Oryzias latipes: one gene and its partners. The protein of the gene in region 1 binds, or shares a complex with, the protein of each later gene. Links are inferred from orthologs where the notes say so. Each region holds a gene or a part of one and is shown in the gene's direction. Other genes may lie near its edges.

Region 1 (3,500 bases):
ACTGTATAGTTGTGTTCGCCATTTTTTCGGGGTGTCCAAATCTACAATTCCATCATTTAGTGCTCTAGTAATTTCCCAGAAGTCTCTGCAAAAAACTAGTGCAGATCGATTCTTACTAGGTTGCCAAATATAGACCATAATGCATTGCGTTTGAAAGATTTTTCATTTCAAAACAAAAGAAGTTTTCATCATCAGAACACAGTGGATTCATTGTAAAATGTTCATATTTATTAGGTTTTTACTTCGGGAAGTCGTTACTCAGTACACATGGTTTTCGGATCGCTTTTCAAATCCAGGGCACAAGAAATCTCTGCATGACATCTTTTTTAGAAGTTAGGGCATGAGTGGGCAAACTTTTTCACCCCTGGGCCACAAAGTGTTCTACAGTATAATTTGACAGAAGGGCCGAAGCAGGAGCAGATGCATGGAGTGTTTTGGTGATCCACTTAATTATATATAGAAATAACATGGAAACTGAACAAAAACATGCTTTTGTCATGATTGACATTCAGTGTATATGTTTTTCTAAACAAAGCCTTTTGGAGTTATTTGTTCTAATTTTAGTGGTGATTGCACCAATGGGTCGATGCCCCTCAGGGGAAAACGCAAACTGAGAAAAATGCTGCGTTTAAGTCGTGTTGGAACGATCGGAAAATAACACACATGAATGTCAGAGAAACAACCAATTTTCCAACACCACATGAATGCAAAGTAATAGGTTTCTGGACCTGAACAAAGGTCAATGAAGTTGTTGTGCACCATGTAGAGCGACCCAATGGTGGTCCATGAGATCTACCACTCGGCGTGTTTTCCAGTTCTCTCTTGACTGCTTTCTGCTGATTAGCTGACTCAGGTGTCACCTTATTCTTATTGGCTGAACACCTGGGCCAGGGAGAAAGTGCAACGAGCTGCAAAGCAGACAGAATGGTAGATCTTGAGGAACAGGATTGGGCAGGCCTGGGATTATCCAAATAATTTATTCCAGATTAAATATTTGCCCCCGGGCCATAGTTTGTCCACCCCTGAGTTAGGGGGTAGAGAGGGAATCCACATATAGCCTTTCTAACTGTATTAATGATGAAAGTCAAACTGCTGCAAAACATTTTTAGGACCTGAAAAGGTCAAAGAGCATGCTGGAAGGTGGAAAGAGAAATGTACTGTGAAGTATCACTAGCATCCCAACAAGTCTTTTTCTGTCTAAATGGTGGCTAAAATGTTGCTTTTTGTTGTTGTTTTTACACTGATTTCTAGATGAGGAGGGTCTGTTCATTACAGAAGTGAGCCCAGGAGGCGTGGCACACAAGGCAGGCGTCAGAGCCAAAGACCGCCTGCTGGAGGTTAACGGAGAGAATGTGGAAGACTGCACACACGAACAGGTGGTGAATAAAATCAAACAAGCCGGGAACACCCTTATGTTTCTGCTGCTCGACGAGGACGCAGACAAGGTCTGCAGGAGCCAATATGCAAAAATGGGGTCGCGGTTGGCCACCGTCAAGTTTCTCCCTCACAAACCGCGTCTCGTCAACCTGACTAAAGGACCTGACGGATTTGGCTTCGTGCTCAGAGAGGAGCCCAAACAAGCAGGCAAGGCCACAATAATATAATGTTTTTTATAGCTTAATCCTTTAAGCCATATGAGCCGGCCTGTGCTTCCAAAGAACCGCAGAAATAATCATCCCCAATAAAAAAAAATTTAATAAATAAAGTCCTAAAATGATACCTAGACATCCAGAACATGCATTGTATATTCTGGTTTCATGGACTTTGGTTTACCTTTTGGATTTTAACTTAAAGTTTAAGGGGTAAAGAAGGAAGTTGTGGTTTGATATTTGTTCCTTGATTCCATACAGGACACTTCATAAAGGACATAGACAGAGACAGTCCAGCAGGAAGAGCAGGACTGAAAGAAATGGACCGACTGGTTGCAGTGGACGGCAAGGAGGTGGACAACTGCAGCCATGAGCAGGTGGTGGAAATGTTCAGGCAAGGTGGTGGTGAGTGCTGCCTCCTTGTGGTGGATCAAGAAACAGACCAAATGTATAAACTGGTGAGTTGTTCTCCATCTTCAACTGTGTTTGTCCTGTGAGAGAAACTGCTTTAGTAATATGCTTTGTGTGTCACAGGGGAAAGTTTCTCCTATGCTCTTCTGGGAGGAGATGAAGGATTCCAACTTACCCCCCAGTTACACAGAGGTTATGAACACAGCGACACCGGCCCAACCCGATGAAAAAGAGGAGGAAGACCTGAAGCCAAAGTTGTGTAGGATGGAGAAGAGTTCTGACGGCTATGGCTTTCACCTGAACGGCATTCAAGGCGTGTTTGGACAGTTCATCAAGGAGGTGAGATTAACAAGAAGGTTCCTCCATGACTAATAAAAAAAACCAGGTGATAAAACCTCCCTTGTTTTAGGTGGTGAAGGGAGGAGCGGCTGACAGAGCAGGTCTGGAGGACGACGACATGGTCGTGGAGGTAAATGGAGTGAATGTGGAGCAAAGTGGACACCAGGAGGTGGTGGAAATGATCCGCAGGAGTGGCAACTCACTGGAGATGCTGGTGGCCAGGAAGAGTGTTTATGACCAGCTCAAAGCCAAAGGAGTAAGCATCACACGCATGCTGCTTGGGGAAGAACCCAAGAGTCAAGAACCCAAGAGTCAAGAACACAGTCCAGAAACCAGCAAGAAAGAGATAGAAAGACCAGAGAGTCCAGCTGAACCTGCAAAACAGAGGGTGAGTCTATGTAACATCTAAAAAGAAGAGATCATGTTGATTTACTTATACTCCATGAGAAAAAATACTTTTAATCTGAAAGGATCGTAGCGTCAAGCAAATAAACTGGGTCAAGATTTTCTTTCCCTGGCGCTAAGAAACGTAAATGTTGAACCAAGAACCTGGTTTAGATGTTTTTTTAGCAGCAAAAGCTGAAGAAGCCATGTTATTTAGGACAAAATATTTGTCTTCACTAAATTGTATATTTTCATCAGGTTTGGGTGAAATTTAGATGCACATTTATTTGAAGCCTTCGATTCTAAAACTCACAGTTTCCACAGGGAAACATGAATCCAGTGGTACGACTTTGGTAACATTTGCTGAATAAACAAGACAATGAAAAACTGAATCACTGTAGCATTTCAGAGAATAATACAAATCCATTTGCTTTCAAATAACATCAATTATTTCTCTTTTCGCAAACCTTTAGGTCCAAATAGGTCAAACTTAAGTCCTGAGGGGTCCCTCTCAGTTTTAATATCTTCATTAAATTGTATAAAATATGTAGCGGTATAATTTTTTCTTTGCTCTTTTGTATCAGATAAATTGGAAGACTGAAAATAATCCATATTTGATGAAAAAAAGAACCCTAAAATAGAAATGGGCCAATTGTATTACAAACAAGGGAATCTATTCATAAATAACAAAAAAGGATTGACAAATTAATGTAAATTTACCTTTTATTATTTATTCTAAATTAGTTTTTTTTACAAAACATCATCATACTTAACAGT
Region 2 (2,350 bases), about 20 Mb from region 1:
AGTCCTAATGATAGAAATGCCATGTTTGACTTACCTTCATTTTCAATTCAAGTTAATCTGCCTCAGCAGGAGGATCTTATTTGAGACGGGGTGTATTTTATTATGAAAGGAACATATATGTACTGCAGTCTAAAGTAAAACAATAACGAGAAACAAATATATCTAAATAAGATAAACAGTGGGGGACTTTGAGGAAGTTTTAACCCCTTGCAAGATGTGCAAAAATCTTCAGAAATTCCTTTTATGCAGCATTCAAACGATCGGGTCTGATGTCACATTCCTGAAGCAGGATTTGTTTGGTTTTTTCTTTCAGGCTCCATCCAACATGAAGTCAGTCCTGCAGGCCGGCTGGCTGCTCACCGTTGCATTTGGGAATGTGATCGTGCTGATTGTGGCAGAGGGGGCGGGGCTGGAACAGGTACAAACAGGTCGCTTAGAAATGAGTCAAAAAATTCTTACATTGGCAAATTTTCTGTAACCCTTGTGCTATCCTAGGCACTTTAACATTGGGAGTTGGGTCATCTAGACCCACTAGACAGTGCTCTAGACCTTTTTTCTTCAATGATTTGTGATCTTCACTGGTGTCCATGGATTACATGAAATCTTTCCACCTTTATCATGGTAGGGAGAACACATCAATGTAAGGGTGGGGTCATCTAAGATAGCACAAGGGTTAAAATCTGCCAATGGGCTAAGAAAAAAGGGTCTCACCAAGAATTCTTATTTAAAAAAAGGCTTTTAGTCTCTAAGACATGTTTCTCCAACTATTTTGCTTTAAAAAAAAACTTTCTGGATAAGACAATTTTTCTTGCCAGTCGGTGAGACATTTTGTCTTGAATCAAGGCTCTTTTACTTTCTAAAGATTGGGTTTGACGGACACCATGATGTCCCTATAAGTTCTTTTGCCGTCCTGCATGCAGCAGCAGCAGCAGCAGCTCCATAAGCAAGAACCTTTTCTGTCTCCTCAGTGGAAAGAGTTCGTACTGTTTGCCGCCCTCCTGCTGGGCGTCTGCATCATTTTCTCAGTCATGTCCATTTTCTACAAGTACGTTGAGCCAGAAAACATGGACAAGATTAACCTGGAGGACACGAAGGAAGAAGATGAGGGTGACGGGAAGAAGAGCAGCATGATGCTAGACAAAACTGGGAAGAGCACCAAATTGTAAAATTTTCTTACCTTTTTTAAAGCACCTTTGTTTTAATTTGACTCGTGTCGTGGTGTTATTTTTTTTTAAAAACCTAATGTGACACGGCTGCTTGACAATTCCTGTAGTTCAGTAAATAAATTCTGAAGGACAGCACAAGAGAAGTTTAAAAGATCTTTTTTAGATTGATCAGTACAGCCATTCCTATGTGTTATGTTGTATATTGGTTTGTTTTTAGGTAAAATTGTAATCATAGGCTATTCTTTGACAAACAGCATCTGACTGATGATTTTACAACATGTATCGCATATTTTTCATGAAGCTTTGATGTAACATAACGTTTGAGGACAGATTTGCAAGAAAATCTAAAATTCAGTTTCCTTTGAGAAATAATTTCTTCGGGGCTTAACTGATATTAGCAACTGTTTGATTTAGGCAATTCCAGAATAACAAAACCTCCCCGTTCATTAGGAGGAGTTTGAATTTTACTTACAAACACAAAAAAACATTTATTCAGCTGGTTGTGTCAGAGAATTCTTGTTCAAGCAGACTCCATCTGATGGTGGACGGGGACGTTTTTGCTGTTGGGCAGAAATGCGATGAAGAATGGTGTGCTTTGAATCAGAAAAAGCTTGTAAAGATTTCAAAACGAGACATATAAACAAACCTTGTATATGTATGTAAATAAATGTGACTGGAATGTCATTTAGTCCTCTTTTTTGTTTTTTAAATGCCATCTAGAACCTTCAAACTTGAAAAACTCAGCACAAACTGACAGAACTTCCCCTGATTTTTGTGCCTGGGTTGCAAAACAAAGTAGAATGAATCACATTAATATGATCGTCCGTCTGCCCTGTGACAGTCCAGGGAACAAATGCAAGCCTCACTAACATGATATATGCAATTGCTCGCTTTATTAGCATACAAACGTGATACAAGTGGTCATTTTTCTAGTTCTTGGTGCTCCAAACATGATTAGCATAATGAGAGATGGAAATGTTGGAGCTCCTTAATGGTTTGCTTGTGTTGTCTGAACATCTGCGGTCCATTTGTGGACCTGGGGCTAGAAAAGAAAACATTTAAGGCATATTTAGTTGGATTGAAACTGGGCTGGAAGGGATTTCTTCAAGTAAATTTTGGCAGATGAGCATCAAAGCGGATTTTTGTGCCTTTCCAAGAGAAGCTCTGTGACACGGCCGACGATC
Region 3 (3,500 bases), on another chromosome or scaffold:
TGAAGAAGGAAGACAAGAAGGAAAGTGTTGAAAGGGGCCAAACGTGTTTAGTAGAATTAACCGTGAATCAGAAGAAGTTAAAAAACATCTTTAAAATTTGAAAAAAGACACACGATGTGAGGTCCTTTAAAAATAATTAAAAAAAAAAGGTTAGTTTCTGTGGTAACCACAGAAGTGTAAATCTGTAACTTGTACGGTGGTGTGAAATCTTGCAGAGTTAATGAGCTGTGGGAGTTCACGTCACCCCTCAGTCAGACTTTGAACAAACCTCCTTCCTTTTTCCTTTGTTTAACTCCGATGCTCTTTATAGTTGGGCTGCTGGATGACAAAAGGCCGTGGAGACAATGCGCGGTGAGAGGTGGTGCGAGTCAGACAGAGGTGGAGAAACCTGTGCTGCAGCCCCGACAACAAACCGACGGCGCCTGTTTGCTGCTGCTCTGTGGTCACTTTTGTTCCATTTTTAAGCTCTATAAAGCAACAGAAGAAGACTGAGGAAGAGAAACTTCCTCCTGAACCATCCCAGGTTTCATGTAGGACCTCAGGTTTTTAGTGAAGCCCTCTCTGGAGGAGTCGGTGTTTGTGTGGCAGCCGTTCAGTGTCAGGGTGGGGTTGATTGGGATCTTATATCAGAGCAGCAGTGAGCACACCATGCTGCCAGAAACTCAGCCTTACTGCAGCAGAAGCTCCCTCATGTCTCATAAATGGACGTACTCTGGAAATTTACTGTAGTAAAAGTACATTTTCATTAAACTAGAAGTAATCCGACAAAACTGTTGTTTTATTTTCCAACTGAACTGCGATGCATAAAAAGACACGGGGCATTCTTGCCAGATCAAACAGACAACGTCTCTTGGGTTGCTGTTGTCTGATTTGTGAGCCTAAAAACACAAAGTTCTGTGAAAAGAACCTTTGACCCTGAGACCTTAAACTTGTTCTGAACTTGCACAAAATGACCTGGAGCCTCTTTGGGTCTGGAGCATCAGCGACTGCTTTCTCCTTCCTTCTTGTCCAAATGCTTCCAGGTCCTGGAAAGTCTAGGGTTCTCTTTCAGGCAGTGGTCTTTTTGGTCTCAGAGTGACAACAGCTGACTGTAATGGATGAATATACAGCAGATCGGGATTCCTCGCTGTAGTGTTGGTGTGTTTTTTCTCCATAAACATCAGCCCTAACATCATTTATGGTCTGGATCATAAAGTTCTGATATGAATTTAGAATTTTGAACATGTTCTTAACATTCTGGTTAGTTGAAACTGACCCGTTTCTTCTGTCTACTCACTGCCGTGGAGTTGCTTTCCTTGATGTGGCTTTTATAAAAAAAATACTTTTTCTCTAGAGATGCTTTCAAACAACTCGGTTTGTTTGCAGTTTTTCGTTGCGTCTTGAACAACAAAAAATGATGTTTCTCTCTGTGTGGCTCGAGATAAACAAAAATAGTTCTACCTGTCACAAGCTGTCAGTTGACAGTAGTTGGGTTTTATTTGTAGATCAGAATTGATGAAAAAAACAACAACAACTAACTACAGATCTGTGAGAGGACAGCAAATGTCAGGGACAGTTTGAGTTCCACGCCAATGGGTGGTAAGTGTGGAGGGTCGCCCTTCAGGCCTGTTTGGGCCAGCTGCTACCAGCTAGTTTAGATTATTATCAGGTCAGAACTTTAGAGCTGTTCGTGCTCACAGAAAGGATCTCACAGACAGGATTTTTTCAGGTTACTTTTACACCAGGCACGTGACGGACGCACTGAACAGGGGTCCTTGAATGTGGTGCCCGTGGTGTCCACACTGGACTAGCGGGGGGGGGGGGGGGGGGGGGGGGCTGCTTCTTTTGCTTTAGCAACTCTTTACTAACTCATGTCGGCCACCTACAGTTGGGAGAGGCTTGGTGTGAAATGTTGAAGCGCCTCCTCCAGGCTTTTTCCTTTCACAGCTTTATTCCGATATGTGAAAGACTCGGTGTCGTAGAATTCTGTCCGGACAAAAACTGCAATTATACATTTTTCTACAATGGTCAATGTTCAGACAGTTGCACTTCTGTGATTATCATCTAAATCCGGGTCCTTATTGGTCAACGTTCGACCTCGTTTAACTTTCAACGCATGTTCAACTGACGCGGGTTTTGTACTTAAAGCCCGAAAGCTGTCTTTAAAATGTGCAGAGGTACACGTGAATGCAAACGTTTTTGGATTTATAAACCAAATTAACTGGAACAGCAAATGACGTTTCTTAGCCTGAAGAACATGAAAATGTTTTGGTTCAATTAAAGCAAGTTTGTGATCAATGGAAACTATTGTTTTCTAAATGCAGACTTCAGAGCTCACCTTCAGTTCAGTGTGAAATGACTAACGTCAGCAAAGCCAGCAGATGTTTTCTTCAGGGTCACATGATCTGGAGGGGATTGGATTGATAGTTGCTGCTTTTGTAAACGCACCAATGAACAGACATATAGATGCATTATTATAGTTGATCCAGGATTGTGTTTATGGCTTTTTGTATTTTCACTAACAATATTGCCTCTAAAGTTGGTCTTAAGCCTTGTGTGGACTCAGGGTTGAAATGAGGAAAACCTATAGGAAATAAATTGTACTTTTCACAAAGGAAAAATGTACTATGGATTTTTTTGGGTGTTCGTTTTTCCATCCCTAAGGTACAGATTGAGTTTTTTATTTTTCTCTACTTCGTTAACCGTATTTGTAATTTATATGTGCATAAATATTTTTGCTGTTGTAGTTAAGTTGACCCAACTACAATTGTTTTCCCCTTCAGGTCACTCTAGTGTGAACTATCAGCCCCAGGAGACGCGCTCCCGGTTGTCCAAATCGGCGGACCAGGTCCTTCAGGACAACGTGGCGCTGCCCCACTTCATGCATTACATGGAGCAACGGGGCGCCGACCATCTGGTTCGGTTCTGGCTGGAGGCCGAGAGTTTCCGCTCTACCAGCTGGTCGCGAGTCCGAGCGCACAGCCTCAACTCGGTCAAACACAGCTCGCTAGCCGAGCCCGTCCCCGTCTCTCCAGAAGGGTCTGACCCCCAAACGCTGGTGCAGAGCACGCCTAGCGACCCCAACATTTCCAGAGAAGGTAACGCAGTAACGTCTGAGTGGCGGGAACCCTCCAGCACAGAGGCTGGGCTGAGACCTAGCACGCCGCGAGCAGACACCCCCAACAGGCAGGCGACCTCCAGGGCGGGGACGCCCTGTAAGGGCCAGTCCAGCAGCACTCTGCGAGATCTGTCTGACAAACTCATGAAAAGTTAGTAACGCCTTTGCAGATCATTTCATGTTTTTTACTGCTAAAAATGGTACTTAGAATTATGATCAGCATGTAGGATATGTTGATAAATAGGTATAAAATAAAAACTAATGATGAATGATAAAGATAAAATAAATGATGATTAATGAAAAAGTCCAAAACATGAGAATGTCTAAAATTCAATCTGAAAACATTTTAATAGAGAAGTAATTTACCAAAACTAACTTTAAATTTTAACTACATCCTTTTATG

Evidence for each region.
Region 2: the proteins of pdzk1 (region 1) and solute carrier family 15 member 2 are in contact, whole or in part, in a crystal structure (PDB 6EZI), measured with the Homo sapiens proteins. The link is inferred for Oryzias latipes from reciprocal best matches to the Homo sapiens genes PDZK1 and SLC15A2. Residues at the interface, in NP_001188254.1 of Homo sapiens: Asn386, Gly387, Tyr388, Gly389, Phe390, His391, Leu392, Asn393, Ala394, Ile395, Arg396, Gln407, Tyr436, Glu437, Val440, Ile443, Gln444; in NP_066568.3 of Homo sapiens: Glu723, Thr724, Lys725, Lys726, Thr727, Lys728, Leu729.
Region 3: the proteins of pdzk1 (region 1) and akap10 are in contact, whole or in part, in a crystal structure (PDB 3TMH), measured with the Homo sapiens proteins. The link is inferred for Oryzias latipes from reciprocal best matches to the Homo sapiens genes PDZK1 and AKAP10. Residues at the interface, in NP_001188254.1 of Homo sapiens: Asn386, Gly387, Tyr388, Gly389, Phe390, His391, Leu392, Asn393, Ala394, Ile395, Arg396, Phe402, Lys404, Tyr436, Glu437, Val440, Ile443, Gln444; in NP_009133.2 of Homo sapiens: Pro655, Leu656, Glu657, Lys658, Ser659, Thr660, Lys661, Leu662.

Annotation. Positions count from the first base shown.
Region 1 is NC_019879.2:25,365,845-25,369,344, reverse strand, and holds part of pdzk1 (Na(+)/H(+) exchange regulatory cofactor NHE-RF3), read left to right. Parts: intron 1-1,251; coding exon 1,252-1,584; intron 1,585-1,850; coding exon 1,851-2,047; intron 2,048-2,123; coding exon 2,124-2,339; intron 2,340-2,409; coding exon 2,410-2,727; intron 2,728-3,500. UniProt on the Homo sapiens protein: A scaffold protein that connects plasma membrane proteins and regulatory components, regulating their surface expression in epithelial cells apical domains.
Region 2 is NC_019879.2:4,892,525-4,894,874, reverse strand, and holds the end of solute carrier family 15 member 2, read left to right. Parts: intron 1-313; coding exon 314-418; intron 419-968; coding exon 969-1,166; 3' UTR 1,167-1,850; downstream 1,851-2,350. Other genes in the region: hspbap1 (HSPB1-associated protein 1), read right to left, coding at 2,296-2,350. UniProt on the Homo sapiens protein: Proton-coupled amino-acid transporter that transports oligopeptides of 2 to 4 amino acids with a preference for dipeptides. Transports neutral and anionic dipeptides with a proton to peptide stoichiometry of 2:1 or 3:1.
Region 3 is NC_019872.2:20,167,087-20,170,586, reverse strand, and holds part of akap10 (A-kinase anchor protein 10, mitochondrial), read left to right. Parts: intron 1-2,762; coding exon 2,763-3,248; intron 3,249-3,500. UniProt on the Homo sapiens protein: Differentially targeted protein that binds to type I and II regulatory subunits of protein kinase A and anchors them to the mitochondria or the plasma membrane.